Linked DNA regions of Caenorhabditis elegans. The protein of the gene in region 2 interacts with the protein of the main gene of each other region in a pairwise test. Each region holds a gene or a part of one and is shown on either strand. Other genes may lie near its edges.

What was found.
Region 1: the proteins of cebp-2 (region 2) and zip-11 interact in binary tests that used the Caenorhabditis elegans proteins (3 or more experiments, as listed by UniProt).
Region 3: the proteins of cebp-2 (region 2) and ces-2 interact in binary tests that used the Caenorhabditis elegans proteins (3 or more experiments, as listed by UniProt).
Region 4: the proteins of cebp-2 (region 2) and zip-3 interact in binary tests that used the Caenorhabditis elegans proteins (3 or more experiments, as listed by UniProt).

The regions. Positions count from the first base shown.
Region 1 is NC_003282.8:3,309,594-3,313,734, reverse strand, and holds zip-11 (Transcription factor zip-11), read right to left. Parts: upstream 2,460-4,141; 5' UTR 2,168-2,459; coding exon 2,127-2,167; intron 1,571-2,126; coding exon 1,410-1,570; intron 1,344-1,409; coding exon 1,071-1,343; intron 1,022-1,070; coding exon 810-1,021; 3' UTR 546-809; downstream 1-545.
Region 2 is NC_003279.8:6,251,326-6,254,132, reverse strand, and holds cebp-2 (CCAAT/enhancer-binding protein homolog 2), read right to left. Parts: upstream 1,052-2,807; 5' UTR 1,050-1,051; coding exon 952-1,049; intron 907-951; coding exon 819-906; intron 772-818; coding exon 655-771; 3' UTR 549-654; downstream 1-548. Other genes in the region: lpd-2 (LiPid Depleted), read right to left, coding at 1-76, 122-259, 307-432; cof-2 (Olfactomedin-like domain-containing protein), read right to left, coding at 1,333-1,539, 1,604-1,705, 1,754-1,858, 1,901-2,060, 2,117-2,214, 2,473-2,570, 2,615-2,738, 2,781-2,807. UniProt on the Caenorhabditis elegans protein: Transcription factor that binds to the promoter and the enhancer regions of target genes. Regulates expression of genes involved in fat metabolism, including ech-1.1 and fat-5.
Region 3 is NC_003279.8:14,959,888-14,965,901, forward strand, and holds ces-2 (Transcription factor ces-2), read left to right. Parts: upstream 1-1,609; 5' UTR 1,610-1,639; coding exon 1,640-1,921; intron 1,922-1,973; coding exon 1,974-2,036; intron 2,037-4,843; coding exon 4,844-5,134; 3' UTR 5,135-5,474; downstream 5,475-6,014. UniProt on the Caenorhabditis elegans protein: Transcription factor. Required to activate programmed cell death in the sister cells of the serotoninergic neurosecretory motor (NSM) neurons. Negatively regulates the activity of ces-1 which in turn negatively regulates the activities of cell-killing genes.
Region 4 is NC_003280.10:13,951,572-13,959,340, forward strand, and holds zip-3 (Transcription factor zip-3), read right to left. Parts: upstream 6,010-7,769; 5' UTR 5,812-6,009; intron 4,420-5,811; 5' UTR 4,394-4,419; coding exon 4,303-4,393; intron 2,596-4,302; coding exon 2,423-2,595; intron 1,843-2,422; coding exon 1,632-1,842; intron 992-1,631; coding exon 849-991; intron 803-848; coding exon 497-802; 3' UTR 335-496; downstream 1-334. Other genes in the region: sre-44 (Serpentine Receptor, class E (Epsilon)), read left to right, coding at 94-298; Protein rpi-1, read right to left, coding at 7,668-7,722.

The DNA.
Region 1 (4,141 bases), on a different chromosome or scaffold from region 2:
AGTAAGAATGAAAAATTCGATCGGAAAATTGTGATTTTCAAAACTCTCGCTAATCTATTTTTTGAAATACCGCGCCTTTTCAATACGGTAAACAACGTAAACAACAAACCCCGCCCATTTTCGTGCAAACACACATTCCGAAAAGTTGTTATTGCACTAACACGGCCCGGCGAACCGTACGTGGCTGTAAAATCTCTACCGTAGTAAAATTTGGCTGACTGAATATTCAACGTTTGATACTCAGCGAAAAGTTTCGTACGACATTTTGCGGACGCGGCATTTTAATTGACGACACTTGTTTTAGTTCTAGAAACGCTGGTCATTTCGGCAATTTTCGGGCAGAAATTGTGAAAAATAAATTAATTTTTATCGAATTTACAAAAAATAATCATTTTAAAGAATTGTATGTTGCTGATATTGAAGAAAATCGATACTTTAAACAGTTTTTCGCAATGTTTCTCGATTTTGGCCAATTTTTTCAAGTTTTAGAGCCCTGAAGTTCCCTAAATCGTATAATCTCACATTTGATTATTGAAAAACGCGTGTTATTATTAAAAATTCGTTTATTAATATAAAAATAACAATGATAATACATAATGGAAATGCAACTGGTGCGCGCAGAGAACGCGTCTGGCGCTTGATACCAAATAACTAGCGAGCTGCGAGCGCGCGCCATGCGCATCACGTGTGTGCGCCAGGTAGCCAAATCTGCCGAGTTGCTTGATCTACTAATAATTTCCAGAGAATATCGTTGAACTGATATACAAGTATGTGGGGGAAAATGGCTGGAGACATAAATAATATAAGAATCATTTTTTGGCAAGTTTGGCGAGGAAGGCCTGTCTCATCTCGGCGACCTCCTTCTCGAGATGTCCGGCTTGAAGCTTGAGCCGCTGATTACGATCCTCCTCGGCTTCGAGCTGATCCAGAAGATCCTGCCATTTCGCCTTCTGCTTGTCACGATAACGGGCGGCCGCAACTTTGTTTTGCTGGCGTTTACGGGATAGAAGCTTGGTTTCATCTGGAAATTTTAATAATTAAATTTTAATTTTAATCCTGAATAAAACTACCATTCGACGAGCCTTCCTTCTTCAAATTATCGACAGTTTGCATTACAATATCGACGAGATCATTAATCGGAATCGCTTCTTGAGCACCATTCTCGTGCTCTACTTGACATTTCTCGCAGTCGCCGGCGCTATTCATAATATGATCGCATTCTTTCGAGATTTCCTCGAAAATCTTCGATTGCTCATGTGGAATCTCCTTTGTTGAGCAACGTTCGTGAACACAATCCACTTCGGCGCACCAGAATTGAGGGCTGAGATCGGTTTGGCCGAGATCTGGAAATTTATTGGTTTTTGAAAATTCAAGACAGATTTGGCAGAAAATTGTAAATAATCGATCACCTTGATAGGATGGTGGCACAGAATTGTAGTAGGACGTCTCGACTGGAAGATCCGATGGGCATGACAGCGTCTGATAGCATTCCGTGTGATGAACCGACGAGTGCGGGTAGTGATGGTGGTGGTAGTGGTCGTGGGGGTTCAGCTCGGCGTGCTCATGGTAGCTGAAATTATATTAATATATTTTTGCTTTTTACATTCGAAATAGCCCATTTTCCTGGAATTTAAACTCAAAAAACGGGTTTATAACGTTTTTTTTTAACGTTTTAAAAAAAATTAATTTTTTTTTAATTGATGGTGTTTGCGTACTTGCACGACAATTTACGAGAAAATGCGGACTTTTGTAGTTAAGTTTGGAATTTAAAATTCTGAAATTCCGCATAAGACCTGAAAAAATCGCAAAAATAAGAATAAAATATTATTTCAATGAAAAAAAAATTGATTTTTGTGAAAAATATCGATTTTCGGCTTCTAATATTATAAATTGTGAGAAATAGCCAATAATTAAAAGGGGTTTTCGAATATTTTTTAATTAAAACACTATTTTTTATGGAATATATTGCATTTTTAATATTTTATTCTCGCGAAAATCGATATTTGCATATTTATTTTATTAATTATTGAATAGAAAAATCTTTAAATTAAATTTTTCTCGGCTTTCCTAAAAATTTATCAATTCCAATTTCAATTTCCATTACAAATTTCCATTTTAAAACAAACCTATAATTGCAGTGATTATTCTCTGCATTCGGGGGCCACATTTTCGTCGAAAAATTGCCTTAAAAAAGCGAAGGCGCGTCGAACGACGAGACGCGAGTGGGTGAAAGAATGAAAGGCCTAGACAGCGAGCGCGGCCTATCGATTGTGACGGGCCTTAGCGCGGAGAGAGCGTGCCGGCGTGAGAGACGCAGAGATAGGTCGGTTAGGCAGTGCGGTGAGATAGCGCGCGGGGTGTGGAACCGCAGAGTGTGCGCCGTGATGTCCTCCGATTTTTGTTTCGAAAAATAGAAAAAAAAAGAAGAGAAAAGGTGAGAGAAAAGAAAACACAGCAGCAGCTTTTGAGGAGAAGAGTTCAGGTGATTGATGAGGATTCCACGTCATCGGAGAAGACGATTTTTTTCTGAAAAATTGAAGGCTTTCAAGGAAATCTGTCCATTTTTCGCTTCATCTTCTTTTTTATGTACGTGTTCTAAATTATTTGGCACTGAACATGGTTTTTCGGTTTTCGTATCTTTTGGCGCGAGTAGCGTCCACCGGTACTCGCCTTATCGCCTTATCAGTATACCAAAAGTTTTTCGTAGAATATGCAACATTTGGAAAAGGCGATAAGCTGCACTTAAATGCACTTTGTTCTCGAAAAGCCTCTCGGCAGACAGATAAGCCGACACTTTATTAGAAAGAAGGCGCATGCCGTAAAACGTAATGAAACGCCTTTGCACAGCGGCAGCAGGGCCTAAATGAAATGAAATGCCTAACTAAACGAAAAGATCAACCAGCAAGCAAAGGGAAAAGTGTAACGAAATTCGGAGGGGAAAAAGTTCAAGCATAACGATCATTGAGATTGTTGGGATTGATAGAGGGTCAATTTGTACTATTTGTTTATAAGTGCAACAAGAGATGCACCAGGGGTGGGCGGCAATTACCGTTCTACAAATTTATTTTCCGGCAAATCGGCAAAGTGCCGGTTTGCCGATTTGCCGGAAATTTTCAATTTCGGTAACTTGCCGATTTGCCGGAAATCTTCAATTTCGGTAACTTGCCGATTTCCCGGAAATTTTCAATTTCGGTAACTTGCCGATTTGCCGGAAATCTTCAATTTCGGTAACTTGCCGATTTGCCGGAAATCTTCAATTTCGGTAACTTGCCGATTTCCCGGAAATTTTCAATTTCGGTAACTTGCCGATTTCCCGGAAATTTTCAATTTCGGTAACTTGCCGATTTGCCGGTTATTTTCAATTCCGGCAGCTTGCCGATTAGCCTGAAGCTTTCAATTCCGGTAACTTGCCGATTTCCCGGAAATTTTCAATTCCGGCAACTTGCCGATTTGCCGGAAATTTTCAATTCCGGTAACTTGTCAATTTGCCGGAAATTTTCAATTCTGGTAACTTGCCGATTTGCCTGAAGTTTTCAATTCCTGTAACTTGCCGATTTGCCGGTAATTTTCAATTCCGGTAACTTGCCGATTTGCCGGAAATTTTCAATTTCGGTAACTTGCCGATTCGCCGGAAATTTTCAATTTCGGCAACTTGCCAATTCACCGGAAATTTTCAATTCCGGTAACTTGCCGATTCGCCGGAAATTTTCAATTCCGGTAACTTGCCGATTTGCCGGTAATTTTCAATTCCGGCAGCTTGCCAATTTGCCGGAAATTTTCAATTTCGGTAACTTGCCGATTTGCCGGAAATTTTCAATTCCGGCAACTTGCCGATTTGCCTGAAGCTTTCAATTTCTGTAACTTGCTGATTTGCCGGAAATTTTCAATTCCGGCAACTTGCCGATTTGCCTGAAGCTTTCAATTCCTGTAACTTGCCGATTTGCCTGAAGCTTTCAATTCCTGTAACTTGCCGATTTGCCTGAAGCTTTCAATTCCTGTAACTTGCCGATTTGCCGGTAATTTTCAATTCCGGTAACTTGCCGATTTGCCGGAAATTTTCAATTTCGGTAACTTGCCGATTTCCCGGAAATTTCAATTCCGGCAACTTGCCGATTTCCCGGCATTTTTTAATTTCGGGAAC
Region 2 (2,807 bases):
CGGCGCTTGACCGGCCTAGTAGCTTTTCAATTTGAGGTTTCATCTTATCCTCGACTGGTTTCATTTTTTCAATGAACTGAAACTAGTTTTTTAGGAACAGTTGGAATACTAAAATACATACCACTCTATGCTTTAAAGCTCTTTTAACAGATGGTTCTACTGTAATTGACTCTCCTTTCATCATTTTCGACATAAGGACAGTCAACTCTCCAAGGTACGCTGTCATTTCATAGTTTTTCAGCTTCAGAAGACTAAGCCCCTGTAAATAAAAAAGTTTTTGAATAAATCTTGAGGTTTTCATTTCACTTCTTTGTCATCGTTCGTTTCCTCCATCCGATCGAAAACTTTACTGAAAGCTTTTACTGCTTCTGCAGTTTGAGTTTCCAGTTCTGCCACTAAATCAGCAAACGCTTCTTGCTCCGTTTCGGTCATCTGAAAGAAACGTTTTTTTTGATACAACACAAATTCAAAAAGTTAATTAATAAGATCATTCAAGATAAATTGTTGGAAACGTACCACACAAAAAAAAACAGTTTAAAAAAGAAAGTAAAGCGTTTTCTAAATTTATTTTTCTTTGGTTATTGGAATGCGTGAATTGAGTTATTTGTATAAAATTTACAGAAATGGTGGATAAATCTTTGATTAAATTGTTATCTACACGGCGGAAGAAGATGGTGGTGGCGGTGGTGGTGGTCCATCATTTCCGTCGTTTTTCGCATATGCCATAAACATTTCTTTAAGAAATGATAACTCTTTCTGTAGCTGCTCGACCTGATAGAGGGAATTAATTAAAATTAAAAAATCAAGTAAACAAGTACCTTTCTTTCTAGTGTTTCGTTCTCCTTTTTTAATTCGTCTACTTTTTCTGCAGTGTCATTTTCTTCCTGGCGTTTTTTTTGTCGGGTTCTGGAATTTTTAATTAGATTTTAGCGGCTAAAAATGAAATTTTACCTGTTCACAGCTTCGTTATTCCGTTTTCGTTTAGTGGAATAGTCATCTTCATCGTCCTCACGAGGCTCTGATGTGTTTCGCTTCCGATTTCCACTCATCGCTTGAAATTGCAACAAAAAATCGAGGAAAACTATGGAATTAATAGAAAAATGATGGAAAAAAGGTTTTGTGGAATTACGATAAAGTACGCGCGAGTGTGTAAAACGGAGCGTCGTTGCGTGAGACACCACAGAAATTCGAGAAAGGGGAACTAAAACTCCTGAAAAAATATATAGGAAAGAGCTACTTTCACGATATTCACGATAAATTAATTACTTTATATTTCTCGAATAAAACTGAATTTATTTTAAAATATAGTAAATGAACTATGTACTACACAAATTATTTAGCCAGCCAATGCAAAAGTGGAGGTACAGAGAGCATATAACCATGATCGTAGATGTAAATTCTCTTATCATAAGCATTATAGCTAATCATATTGGCGTTCTTGTACAAATTAATCCATTTAATCAAAGGTTGGGAGTATGTGTTTCTGTAGAAATCGTATGCCGTAGAGATATACGTGGATTGTTCTGATGCACTTTCCACCTGGAATAATGTTGATTTGATTTTGCTATTGGTCAAGCTTGATATCAAATAAAAAATTCTAAACCAAATAAATTGTTCCACAAACGACGATTCCATTTGCAACATCTGTATGATTTACTGTCGTGAGGTTGAATGCCTCATAAATTGTCAAATTATTTATATCCACCTGGAATAGTACCTAGTAGATAGATTTCAATGAACAACTTAAAATTACTTTAGCTACTGATAAGAAAGCTTCTTCCTGATAGTGAAACATGACCCAAAGTGCATTTTCATCGATTGCCAAGTCAAAATAATTCATCGAATTATTATAAAGGTACTGAAATTGGAAACTTTGACTTAAAACAATTTCAAAACTCACCTGATCCCCACGATAAGCTGCTCCCGGTATTTCAAACTGTGAGTACTGTTTCGAGTTGAACTCGTATTTTGCAATAATTGGATATCCTGCTCTTTGATAGAAAAGAGATGCATTGAAAATAACATGATTTGTTCCATCGAATATATATGGAAGGCGATGGCTGAAAAAGAATAAAAAGTTCTCAAATATTTGAAAAATTTTGAAAGAAAACCATACACTTTTCCGACATGGTCCCGTCGCATTTCAGCTTCATTCCTAAATTCGATGAGCTCGTGGCCTTGGAAATGGTTCATTACGTATCGTTTTCTAGCGTCCTGAAACAAGATATACATATGTTGAGATATGCCTTTCTCATAATGTACAGTATACCAGTACTCGGCGAACCAGTGAGTTTCGGTTTGTGACAGCTTTCCAAACTTTTTTTTACTTTTTCCCGGTTTTTTAGCATTTTCATGCCCGAACGTCTCGACCGGAAAACGCCTCCGAAAAATGAACCACGAACATACATACAGAAAGAGTTGAATAAAGTGTGAGCAAATTTTTCAGTTCCATTTTCAAGCTCCCAAACTTACATCGCCGGTTGGAGGGTATGCATCTCTCATCCAGCTTCCATAATATGTTGTAGAATGAGAATGGAACACAGGTTTTCCAACGTTTTGAAGTCGGCAATCTTAACATTCTTCAACTCCTTTTAAGACTGAATATAATACTTACGGGCAGTAACTCCTTGAATATATGCAACTGGAGTCGTAATGGTCTCTTCAATTTCTTCATCGAGAGTGTAGTTTTTCAAACATATTTTCACGCATCCCTCGACTTCACTGTAGTTGGAAAGGATCTGAAAATATGCTTTGGATCTGAAAGTTATTACTGAAGTCACCTGCTGAACCAATCCAGGCATTGGTTG
Region 3 (6,014 bases), 8.7 Mb from region 2:
ACAGTTACGCAGTATTACTAGCCATTGCGTAAGTTCAAAAGAGGGACCGATGAGCACATGGTACTTGAAAGAGGATGAAAGGTCGGGAGGATGAATATTGTTGCATGAAGAGAAGTGATTTCGGATGCATGTGAAGCCTTGGTGGTAATATTAATGATATCCCTCTAATATTGAATTTTTAAGATGTGCTCTCAAACGTGAGGGTTTAATTGTTGAAAGTAAGGCCATAAAATTAAAACCCTGAATTTTAGAATACTGACTGCTGGTAATTAAATCTTCATTTCTCATTGATTTCAGGTGATTTCAGACAGCATCAAAACATTCATTCAATGTTTCAACAAATCCGTAACCCAACAAACCTTATTACCTAATGACTACCTACCATTCAAATACTTGCGTAATGATTGTCTCTTCCTCCATGTCTACCACCAACCCCTCATTCTCCTCTTCAGAAGAAGAGCCGACGTTCCAATGCACACGAGACACCTATCTCTCATAGAAAACGAATATTCAAATGCCATTGCATACGGTTGCTCTGCGTCTCGTTCTCTTCCCGTGCTCTCTAGTGTTGCGCACTGTTGCACCCTCTGATGGCCGGTGGTGACCTCTTGGAGGGCGGGCGGAAAATGCTGCCACCCTCATCCCGCATACCGCCTGTCATTTCTCGAGACAGCCGACGCGCAATCACTCTTATGCTCCGATGGGTATATGGGGCAACAGGGTGGTCCCAGTAGACCCAATTTCTTACAACTTCGTTTTTTTTTAGTTTTTGATTCTACTAATAAAAAATCATATGTAACTTTGAACTACAAAAATCGCGCAAAACTCTTAAGATGTTTCCAGTTACAATACTCTGATAAAACTTAAATTATTCACAAAAAAATATAGATTTCAAATATGACTACTGTAGAGGTCATTTCATTTCCTCCCCATCTAACGTATGCATCTTGAATTTTCTTCAGTGATCATTTTTGATTAAGAAATGTATTCTAGAGCTAAAAACTTGAATTATATTATATACTCTTTTGTAATAACAATTAGCCTACTTCAACTTTTCATTTTAAGATATGACAAGCAAAATTCCAATTATTTTGATTAAACACAACTTTTCAAACTTGTTAAGTAACTTGAGGATCCACATTGACTTTATCAGTACTCACCGCTTATCTAACAACCTCTACCAATTCAGGTTCCACCCTAATCCTAGATTGTCTCTTTCCTCCATTTCCTTTTACTCTTTTTTATGATTGTGCAAACATTTGACCTCTTTCTTTTCTACCTTCCAATATATTCTTCTGTTCAATTTAATTTACCATGGGCATATCTTTGTTTTTTTTTTGAAACGGAATTGGATGGTGTAACCTGAAACATGGCTGGTCTATAGTTGAATTTTCAAGCTTATAGTTTATGAAACTCTAAAAATGTTTTAATCAAAAGTTCAATATTGACGTACCCTATTACATCAATTAAAGGATTTTTTTGGGAATTTTCCATCTAGCCTTTGTCTTCTAGGGTTAAAACTATTCACTTAGCTTATCCATCGGAAGTTTAAACTGAAAATCAAACATTTACCTCTTCAACTCTCTTATAGTTAATAAATCTGTGTCTTTTTTAGCCCCAAATTATCACAGCAGACGCAATGGACTTTCATAGAGCACTATCGGCGCTTTTCACAAATCAAGCAGCCGTTCAACCACTGCTCGGCTCACTTGGTTTCCCATTCAACGACGGAACTTCTATTCTGACGACTGCACTTGCTGCACAGTCCGGCGGAAAGAAGTTGGACACTCCGTTGGGGATTTTACCATTTGACTCACTGCCCACGACAAATCTTTTAACACCAACCAAGAAGATCAAACTAGAAGATGAATTGTGTGCCAGTCCAGTGTCAAGCAGGTCGAGTACGGTTAGCAGTTCACACGTGAGTTGGGAAAAATTATTAGCACTTATAAAACTATTGGAATTATTTTCAGTTTTCAAGTCCCCAACGGTCACCATCACGAAAGATGTCGGTTCCGATTCCAGAAGAAAAAAAGGTTTGTTTCAATTTTTTAAGTTTCAAGTGTATACAATTCCAAAAAATCTGAAAACCAATAGAGACTTACCATGAGGTTAAAAATATTCATAAATCGTATTTGCGTGGTCTTAAGTTCAAATCACTACAGTTACGTAACACGACTCCTGTTAGTTACGCAACGACGACCGCGAGGTGTCTGTTGGAGATGGTTTATGGGTGTCAGAATTTTTGATAGTGTGAAAGTCAACTAGTATTAACGCCCCCACCCAAACTATTATAATTATAAGTTGCCTTATTTACCGTATTCCTGGAGTTTCCTCTTAGTGCGGAGCATTGTCAACGCCATTTTGTCTCTAAGCTATGCTAATGAATAATTACTCCTAACAATCCCAATTCAAAAATCCGCTGGTTGTTCCTGGGATAATGCGGTACAGACTGCCTCCAATTAAGAGCTCTTCGAGATTCGGCTCATTGTTTAGCACCACCCAACTGTTGCCATAAGAAAAAGAAGGGGTAATTACATACAGTCTACCTGACAGAGAAACCTTCATGTGTGTGGAGGAATTTGAATATGAATATACGAGAGGGGCATGACCGGACAGGAAGGGGTGTTGCGCAACTATACCCCCGTAGAGGACTTGGGCTACCATTTATATTATTCAAATGAGGCGGGAATTCAAAAAATTAAGATCAGCATCACTTCTTGTTCAGCTAGCATCAAATACTAAGTAAGCTATATTTACTGCGTCGTACAAGTACCCACATTCTCATTTTGTAAAAAAATTGTAATTTTTCGTAGCGCCAGTGCGAAATGGCCAAATATCATAGTGGCACGTTGCCGGCCAATATTCTATTTGCTTTCGGTTTTATGGCCATTTGCCTGAGTTTTTCAAACACATATTACTTAAATACTATAATAGTTAACAAATAATTTTCAACTAACAAAATGTTACCGGTTACTTTTTCTACATGTGTAATTTAAAAAAATAATTTCCACAGAATTTTCAACTTTTTGCAATTTGTTGTTTTGTCACAAAGTGCCCAGGGAAATTTATACAGATGACTAAACATGCATTACAAAAGTCAGAACTGACCAAATTTTCTGTAAATGCGAGCAAAATTTTTGTTTAGGTTCTGAGTTTAAAAACATTTCAAACATGTTGCAAACATTCGTGATGTAAGTTTTCGTTACAAAAACTATTATATAAAGCTATTTAATAGGATTTTTAAAACATGCTCAAAATCTAGAAATTTGAGAATCATGTTCAATCCTCTGTATTATTTTTCCTGGTCGATTGATGACAGAACTGCAAATGGCAGAGTGTAGAAAAATTGGTGCAAATTATTTTCTTATTAAACTTTGTTTCATGAGCACAAAGTTGTGGGTCACTTAGCAATTCTAGTCAAAATATAGTCCCGGCTGATTTCAGCTGATGTAGCTTTTTTCGTAATAAAGTTATGTAAACCAACATCAAGAGTGTAGACAAAATGAACGGCAACATTTTGTTAATTAAAAATATTTTGCTAGATGTTATCGTATTCGAGTTATACTTGTTTGAACAACTCAAGCAAATCACCTTAAAAGCGAAAACGAATAGAATATTGGTCGGCACTGTATATGTTGTCGTTTTATGAAACTTTAATGTCCTTCTGTAACAAAAGACTCAAACTTTTTTGGCCTAACGCATATTACATCTAAGTTTTCTTTTACGGGCGGTGCCCCTCCGAGCATAAAACATACGGAAAAATATATAGAGGGGTCGTACATTTTACACAACAAAACCCACTCATTCTGGTGAACGGCATACGGTGGTTAGAAGAGAGGCTTACACAAAACACAACTGTCACACCGATTTTTTGAATAAACTTACGTGAATATGAGATACTTTTCCTTTGATATTTAATATGGGATTTGCGATAATGTGTAGCTCTTGTTTTATAAAACGGAATAACTTTGGCATATTCCTTAATAAAGTATATGAAAACTCAAAAAGTCGCATAAGAAATAACTAGTAGTGTATGTGTGCTTCATATCTTTTCGGGGATATGAAATATTAAAAACGTACAACTAATGAAATGTATAAAATTATTTAATTATTGTATTTTTGCTTAAAAAAGTTCTTCTAAATAATTTATCTTGAAGCTACATGGAAAAATGGGGAAAAATGGTATCATCAAAATTTCGGCCTAGCGTACTTCAACTGACCCTAACTCAAAAACAACAAAAGATACAGAACAGTCATCAACTAACACATTGTAGTGCTTGAAATGCTTGTTAATTTTGTAGTTGATCATTTTTTCATATCTTTTACGTTTCAGGAGTTAGCGTCGTTCAAAGTTTAAAAAGTCATGTTTGCAAGCATTTTCGGCACTTTCAACTGATATTGTTGTATCGATACGCTATGTATGAGGATGTTATTACACTAATGTGCTAAACTAATAGTCTATTACCTGAGGGTGTATAAGTTTTCGATTTCCCAAAGAAATGACAAAAATCGGAAAAATTAAATGTTTTGATCGGCAGAGAACGGAGTTGGAAATAATCTTAACGGTGCCCATCATGGCTGATATTGATAGGCTTGTCATTCTAACTGTCTTCTATATATCCACAAAAAATATCCTAGAAAAAATCAAAACTGAAAAAAAAACGACAAAACTTATTTATCACCCTAATAGAATTATGATTCTTTGCTAGGCTAACTGTGCTTAGAGATTTATTAATTCCTAGTTGATAGGCTTTTCGCAAATTGTGTATTACTTTTGTAGACTAATAAATTCCTAGTTTCTGAAAACTTAACAAATCACAATTAATCTCAGCAATTACAGGACTCTGCATACTTCGAGCGTCGGCGCAAAAACAACGATGCAGCGAAACGTTCGAGAGACGCACGTCGTCAAAAAGAAGAACAAATCGCATCAAAAGCTCATGCTTTAGAACGGGAAAACATGCAACTACGTGGAAAGGTCTCAAGCTTAGAGCAAGAGGCCGCGCAGCTCAGATTTCTCCTCTTCTCCAAAATCTCACCAGCAAATTCTGAAGTGTCCTGCGAGTCAAACGATTCAACGGAAACTAATGATTCTAATGATTCTAAAAGCGATTCAACCATTGAAGTATGAAATTGTTTGTATTTCATATACCGGACGCTTAAAAAAAGATTAGTGTTGTTTACGCACTTTTGTTGTAAATTTACAGTCGTTACTTCAAAGCTTCTATTTATTTGAATGTTTCTCTAGGTTCTTGAAATTGCTTTATTTTTCTTTCCTTAGCTTTAAATCGGTTCTCTATACCACCCATTCATCTTGATCTATCTCTTAAGCTTTCATTCTCCCTACCTCAATCCCCTATCAGGTTATTCATCTGCGGGTGCGTGTATATTTCCTGATAGTTTTTCAACTTATCATTGATGATTTTTCTACAAATTCTTATTTTGACAATAAATATTGTGTATGCATTTTATGTACTTTTTTGACATTTTTTTTCTAAATGGTTCAGAAATATATGTATTTGATATATTATAGTACACAATATAATAAGATCTGTAACCAACTTTGTAATATTTTGCACTTTATAATAGTTCTAAAAGAATTAAACCTGAATTTTTTAACTCGGAATATATGAATGAGTTTTAAACAATTCCAAATATTTACATTCTTGACTTTTTGTAGCCATTAATTTATTATAAACTGTAGAAGTGACACTTGTCACTATCTAAAATTCGGTGTGCTAGGCAACACTCCTAAGTTATTATTTGTTGCTCCTCGAATTTCAAAAAACTTCTCAAAATTTATGGCGGTTCAAAATTTCGAAAAAGTACACTGATTATAGCTAGCATCTCAAACTTTGCTTACTTTTCTGTGTCGCATCTGTCCGATGTTGAATTTTTTGGAATTATCGTCTTTTATTGCATTTTTTGGTATTTTATTTTTATTTTTTTATTGTTTTATTTCGTTAATTAAACCGATAGGTAATCAAACATCCTCTATATTGTTTACATCT
Region 4 (7,769 bases), on a different chromosome or scaffold from region 2:
CGTCCTGGCGTTGCACTGCTGCCGGGCTCGGCCCAGTCCCCGCGGGGACAAAATTGAATACGCATCTATTACTAATACATTTTCAATTTCCAGAGGCCCCTCATTCATTGGCCCGACACTGATCCATTCCGTCGATGCTTGGAGGAACTATGAACTTTGTCCATTTTCCAACAAGATTGTAGCAGTGGCACGGAAAACTACAATAGTCAAGGTGGTTCCAGTGGAGTGTGACAAAGATTCCGAGTTGCGGAAGGAGACGGACACATATTTTCGACAATTGAACAATTCTTGGTCATAGTTATTAGGGTTATTAGGTTGTATTAAAATATATATTAAAAAATATAAAATTTCATATAAATGCATCAAATTACAAAAATCATAAGTGAATATAATACCAAATTTGTACATAAAATTAGAATACCAAAAAAAAAACTCATGTAGATTGTCACGGGGATAAGGTAGGCATATTGTAGGCATGTTATCACAACACAACTCATCACTGTCTTCCGAGCACCGCTTGCTTCAGCCGATCAATTTCCCGCTCCATTCGGGACACCTGATCGCGGAGCTCATCGTTCCGTCGGGTCAGGTCACCGAGCTCACTCTCGGCGCTCTCGCGAGCCTCGCGTTGTCGCTTGCGGTACCGGGCAGCCGCTAGGTTGTTCTGAATTCTCTTTCGTCGGAGAATTTCCTCGGGAGACTCTTCCTCTTCACGACCTTCTTCGATTTGGGAATCTTTGAGGGCGACGACGACGAGCTTGACAATTTCTTCGATTGACATTTGTTTCTTGCCGTTTTGGAGCTGCAAAATAAGCTCATATTTTGGATTTTGAAACCCCAATTCTTACCACTAAATGCTCCTGAATCTCCCGTTTCACGTCAAATGGAATGTCCTGGGGAATCACTAGATCCTGTGGTTGTTGCTGAAGCATTCCAGATGATGAGGATTGTGGAGCAAAGGAAGAGTATGGTGGTGGAGCCATTGGACATTCTGGAAATTTTTTCTTTAATTTTTGTTTCCAATTTTACAGAGTTCAGAACTGGAAATTCGATGAAAAATGCCCCCAAAATTTTTTTTTTGCCGTTTTTTTTTCTATTTTAGGCAGTTAGAATCAGTTTGAATGAGTTTTTTGGCCAGTTTTTTACAAGGAAATTAAGGGAAATTTATTGGAAATGGTTTTGAAAACCAATAATAAGAACACTTTTGGTGTTCAAAAATACAGATTTTGTGAAATTCAATCAGTCTCACACATGGTGTCAGGCTGATCCATTACGGTTTGATCTACAAAAATTGCAGGAACTTTTTCCCCAAAAAAATGAGACGCAAAATCAGTTGAGAAGTCTGCGTCTCTTCTCCCGCATTTTTTGTAGATCTACGTAGATCAAGCCGAAATGAGACACTCTGACTGACCACGTGGTCTCGGAAAAAAATTGGCAGAACTTTGAAATTTTCTAAGAAAACGATTTTGGCTGGAAATTCAAATTTTCTGCGAAAAGCATTTTGGCGGGAAATTCAAATTTATCAAGAAAAATGTTTTGGCGGGAAATTCAAATTTTCTGCGAAAAACATTTTGGCGGGAAATTCAAATTTTATGTTAAATTTTTTTTGGAGGGAAACTCAAGTTACTCACGAGTTCCAAGTGGCACACCATTCGTATCAACTGGAATCGGGTGCGGAGCAATCGGGCTCATAACCATATGATATTGACCTGGATGGAACATCATTTGTTGCTGGGGCATTAGTGTTGATGGGTCAAATGTTGGTGGTTGTTGAGGTAATGGGAGCGGGGTGTAGTAGTTGGATGGTTGAGGAGTTGTTGGACACGAGAAGTCTGGTGAGGCCTGGAAAATGTTTGAAGCTTGAGAATTTTTAATCAAAAATTGGCGGAGATTCTCCCAGTTTTGTAGAAAATATTTGAGTTACTTATAGTTAGGAATTATCAAAAAAAACGGTTTCCAAAAAATGGAACCTACAAAGTTAGGCTTAGCAAGACAGTAGGTAAATAGTGATTTCCAAAACTAACCAAATATTTCTCAAAATATCTAGATTTCACGTAGTGTCAGAGTGTTTCAATTCGGCTTGATCTACGTAGATCTACAAAAAATGCGTGAGAAGAGTCGCAGAGTTTTCAACTGATTTCGTATGGTTAAGAACGTGCTGACGTCACATTGTTTTGGACGAAAAATTCCCGCATTTTTTGTAGATCAAAACGTGATGAGACAGCCTGGCACCAATTTTTTTGAATTACCGGAAAATGGCATTTACAAATTCTTAAAATCGAAAAAAAATCGCATTCAATTTGAAGCAATTTTTGAAAGTGTGCACCAAAATTTAAGCTAAAATCTCCAAAAAATAGTTTCAAAAACCAGAAAAAAAGTCCCAAAAAATGGCAGAAACTAAAAATTTTTGATCTAAACTAACCGGCGATGATCTTTCAATATACTCCGCTTCGGACACAATTTCTCGATAAATATCGTATTCCGTACGATTCGACGGGACACTCAAAAGGTGTGGAGCCGCTGAGTCAGAAGCTCGAAAATTCGGAGCCACCGATGGAGCTGCCGGCGGAGCAAACTTTGGTGGAACTGGCGGCTCTGCAAGAATTGAAACAAAATGTTGATTTCATCTTTTTCTCTTTTTCTCTTGTTCGTTCAAAAGTGTCAGGCAAACATAATATGATGCAATTTTAGTTGGTTTGGGTGTATGTGAGTATGCTGATAACTTATAAAGAGAGGAAGATGCGCAGAGAACTGGAGATATAGACTGTAAGAATGCAAGAGACGCAGACTATGAACATGACCATGTTGACCGTAAAAAGTAGAACGCTGCCAAAAAATAATAGGAAGAAAACATGTGGTCTTGCAAATTTTGAAGCACCTCTGGAATTGTTTCTCAATTTTTAAAAAAATCTCAATAAAAAATTTAGAAAATCGTAAAAAAGCGTACACTTACAAGCAAAATTCCTAGAAGTTTTCGTTTTTTTTGCAAATTTTTTAGAACTTCTTTGTGAAAAGCACATGTCAAAATTCGGCAAAAAATTACTTGAAAATTTCTGAAAAATTTCCAAAAAAAAAAAAATTAGAAATTTTTAGGGTTTTTTTTTTCAATTTCGACAAAAAATTCCGAAGCTCTCGAAGCAAAATGTTCTCATCAAAATTCCAAAAAATTGGAGTTTTCATCTTAAATTCACAAAAAAATGAACCATTTTGTGGGCGGAGTCGAACATAGACCCCGCCCACTTCTTGGTTTACTTTCCGATTTTGAAATAAGTTTTCAAAACACCGCTTTGAAGTTTTTGCCATTTTCTATAAATTTTTACATTTTCACGGAGTTATAGATGTTCCGAAATTCGAAACACATTTCCAACTATGAATAGACCACGACCATTTTCTGGGCGGAGCTAACATTGTGGTCACGCCCACTTTTTGGAGAAAAAAAGCTCTACTAACAGGGGGAAAACTACTTAGATTTCAAACAAAAAACAAAAAACCAAAAAAAAAGAACAGTTCTTCTCGTCGGTCACTTCTACGACCACCACCTGCGAACAAAATGTGACGTGAGAGAGAAAGGAAAGAAGAAATTGAAGATTGAAATATTTGATAGATGAGAAATAGAATGTATGAGACTGATGCCAAATAGATAATGCAATTTTTCGGAAGGGTACTGTAGTTTTTAGCAAAGTTTTGAGACGTTTCGTGACATTTTGAACTTTGCTTTAAACAAAGGGGCGGAGCTTAAATTTGCAAAATTTTACTAAAAATCCCCTTTAAATGCAATATGTATAGCCCGACAATTTCTGGGTTCCACGCCACACTATTTACAACTTTGCAGTGGGCGAAATCCGGCAGTTGTCGGACCATTAAGATTTTTGCAAGCAAGCACGGGGTCTGGCCTTCCTCATTGAATTTTTTGCGCTCCATTGACAATTGCCTGCCGGACAACGCGTGGAAAAGTTGTGTACTCCACACACGGACAAATACATTTAGTTTTACAACTAAAAACTAGCCGCGACGCGACACGCAAAGCGCCGTAAATCTACCCCAGATATGGTCGAGTCAAAATGGCCTAATTCGGCCTAAACTCTTCCATTTCAATTTATGAGGGAAGCCAGAAATCGGTGAGCAAGCCATGCCCACGAAATGGGCAATTTTTTCCACAAATAGGGAGAGCTCGGAGCAAAGAACACTTAACATTTTCAAAATTGATAAATTAGTTAGGTTTGACAGAAAAAAAAATCAATCAATCAATCAAATGGCGTGAGAAAATTTGAGAATAAGTGACGTTTTTTGCATAAAGCTCACCTGGTTTGCTGGAAGATCGTTTCCGGAATCCGATAAAAGAGCCGAAAAATCCACGCCGCATGAAGTCGTCCGCATCGTATGACGGCTGCATTTTTGGAGACAGGGAAGGTTTTTTCACTGGAAAAAATGGAAATTTACAGTGCGGAAGTTTTTTTAGTTTCTGTAAAATATAATATTTAGAAAATAAAAATCAAAAAAAAAACTCAAATCTGATAGCTTAAATCTCTGCTGTTTTTGGTTTTATAAAAAAACGTTTAATTTATTTATGTTTTTTTTTGTTTATGTTTGTACCATTTTGCAGTTTAAAGTAATGTTCTGTAGCTCCTAAATGGTTTGAAACCAAAAAGTTTCTAACGGAGCAAAATTGAATGAAAAAAAAAATTTAGTATAGGTCTTTTGAAAACTGCTGACACAATCAAAAATTGTAAATTTTCACTTCTGGTTTTTTTTATTTGCTTTACAGATATTTCAACAAATTCTCATTTTCAAAATAGAACATTTTACAAAGTTTTAGACAAATTTAGTATGACTTTTTGAGACACTTTTTGGAAATATTGAACATTTTTAAACAACCCTCAACCTATTTCAAAAACAAATTTTATTCTACTTTTCATTAAACTGGATTTTTGAACTTTTTACACACTCCGTATTACTTTTTCACAATTATCAAAATGAAAAAATCAATAAAATTAAAAACAATGAATTCCAATTCATCTAATCATAAAACTACCATAAAAAGCGGCTGGAAAACTCCGAAAAAAAAGGAAAAAAAAACTGAAACCGTTTGATTGGTTGGAGAGAAAAAGAGAGACGGTGCTGATAACAATTATTTGTAGGAAGACAGGTACTTCTCGAGCCTTGTCTGTGCATTTTGTGTTGCTCTCACTCTTCTACTCTCCCGATAACAACAGGACACTATTTCAGAGCACACTTTGGTCACACACCGGTGCGGTGGAGCACACTTGCACTATGAACTTTTGATACTGGTAGGTAGGCAAGCAGGCAAAAAGTAGGCCTATGAGGTAGGCTGGTACTGTGAGTGTCTAAATAGGTCACACAGAATCCTTACCGAATCTATGTCAGTGCCTATAGGCGTCTCAAAAACGCCTGCCTGCTTGAAAGACTGTAAACGCCTGTATATTACTTGCCAAGTACCTATCTAGTACCTACCTAATACCTACATTTTACCTATTTGGTGCTTATCTAGTGCCTACCCAGTACCTACCTATTTACAACTGTGTACCAAAACGCCCTAGTGCCTATCTAATATACCCACCTAGTATCTACCTAGTACCTACCTAGTGCACATCTAGCGCCTACCTATGTGGTACCTTTCAAGTGCCTATCTAGTACCTACCTAGTACCTACTTAGTATCTACCTACTGCCTATCTAGGGACTACCTAGTGCCCACCTAGTACCTATATATGCAGGCCAACTATTACCAATAAAAATACCAAAAAGTTCACGTAGAACTGATAAAATTTATGTTGTCACTTAAAAATACCTACCTCTACTGTCACAAACCGTGTCAGGAGATCCCCATCATCCGGTAATGCTTTAAAAAATCCACCAAAAGCTACTCTGAATTTCAAATTTTACCTATGAAAACGTGCACAAACAACTAATAAAATCAAGTTCGAGTGTGTGAGAAGCCCCCGGAGGGCTCAATGAGCTCGTTATCAGCGCGGCTCCTAACACAGAAGGGGTATGCAAGAATTCAGTGAAATATGGTGGTGATAACGGAGGGATTATTTATTGACGTTTCATCAATAAATCAAGAAAATCGAGCACAAAATGCAAAAAAGGTAGACGATTGACTACACTTTTTGTTGACTCGAGGATTTTTATCATTTGTTAAACTGTGACCAAACTGTAATAGGATTATGATTGGCTTCTGGGTGATCAGGAACAAGAAAAAAGTGCCTACCTAGTGCCTACCTGGTACCTACTTAGTGCCTACTTAGTGCCTACCAAGTACCAACTTAGTGGCTAAATAGTACCTACCTAGTACCAACTCAAGACCTACCTAGTGCTTACCTAGTGCCTATCCTAATACCTACCTACCACATACCTAGTACCTACCTAGTGCCTTCCTAGTACCTTCCTAGTACCTTCCTAGTACCTCCCTAATACCTACCTAGTACCTATCTAGCACCTGCCTAGTACCTGCCTAGACCCTACTTAGTGCCAACATGGTACCTACCAAGTACCTACCTTGTACCTACCTAGTACCTAAAAAATTTAATTTTCTAGGTTTTGATAGTTGACAACTTTTTCATATCTGTTATCAATACAGATAAAATTTAAATTTTAAATTTATTTTTTGTTGCAAAATTGACTTTTGGGAAACAAACAGGTGGTGATAGTTTGATCTTTTTCCCATCTCTTTATCATTAAAGAGAATTAGTGATGCAGAGAAATAAAATCGTGTGTTCTGATGATTTTGCATCATTTTCCGCATTTCTGGAACTTTATTTATTTTTTTCTAAATTCACCACAACTTTTTGAAAAACATAAAGATCATACCAACTTAAAGCAAAATTCAAAATTGCGACTTTCTATTCAAAAAAAAATTTCAAAAAAAAATCAATACACAAAACAAAGAGACAGAATTGATAAAACTGGTGTCTATCACTGATCTCATCAACCCACCCGGTTTCGGTCTGCAAAGTACGCACGAGAAACGCGTCAGCAATGGACGTCTTGTCCGAGTTAAGTTCCCCCGAACAAAGTACTGATAAAATGAGCAAAAAACAAATTTTGATTGAGAGTTGTAGATACTGAAAAGTTCAAAAAAAGTGAAAAGTGTAATGCCAGAAATAGTAAAGTTTTCGGATTAATAAAACAATTGTGACTAAATGCCTACCTCGTACCTACCTAGTACCTATCTAGTACCTGCCTAGTACCTGGCTAATACCTAGCTAGTACCTGCCTACTACCTAAAAAGTGTCTATGGTGTGCCTACCTGGTAGCTACTTAGCACGTACCTAGTACCTACTAAGTACCTACCTGGTACCTACATAGTACCTACCTAGTACGTAGCTACCTTATACGTACCTACCTTATACGTACCTAGTACCTACCTACTTTTTTATGCAACAAATATCCGTAACAAAACTGTGTTACGTGAGTTTTCAAGACTTTTTTCTGTAAAAAAAATTGATAAGAGAATTTCAAAATTTTTGACTTTGAAATGATGTATGAACTTTCCAAATTTTTTTGCGAAAAAGTCATGTAAAGTTGAAAGATGAAAGTCTAGCCATTTATTAATAAGTGAGGAGATTTTTGACAGAAAAATGTTGACGAGGAAGAGGGATAAGTTGAAGGGAAAAATATTTTGAAAAAAAAATCACAGAGAAATCAATCATTTTTTGGCTTCATCTCCTTTCTTGTGGTCTTCTTCAGTGGATCCGGAAAATCTGAAATTATATTTATTTAGAGTAGGATTTTCAGATTTTCAGATTTT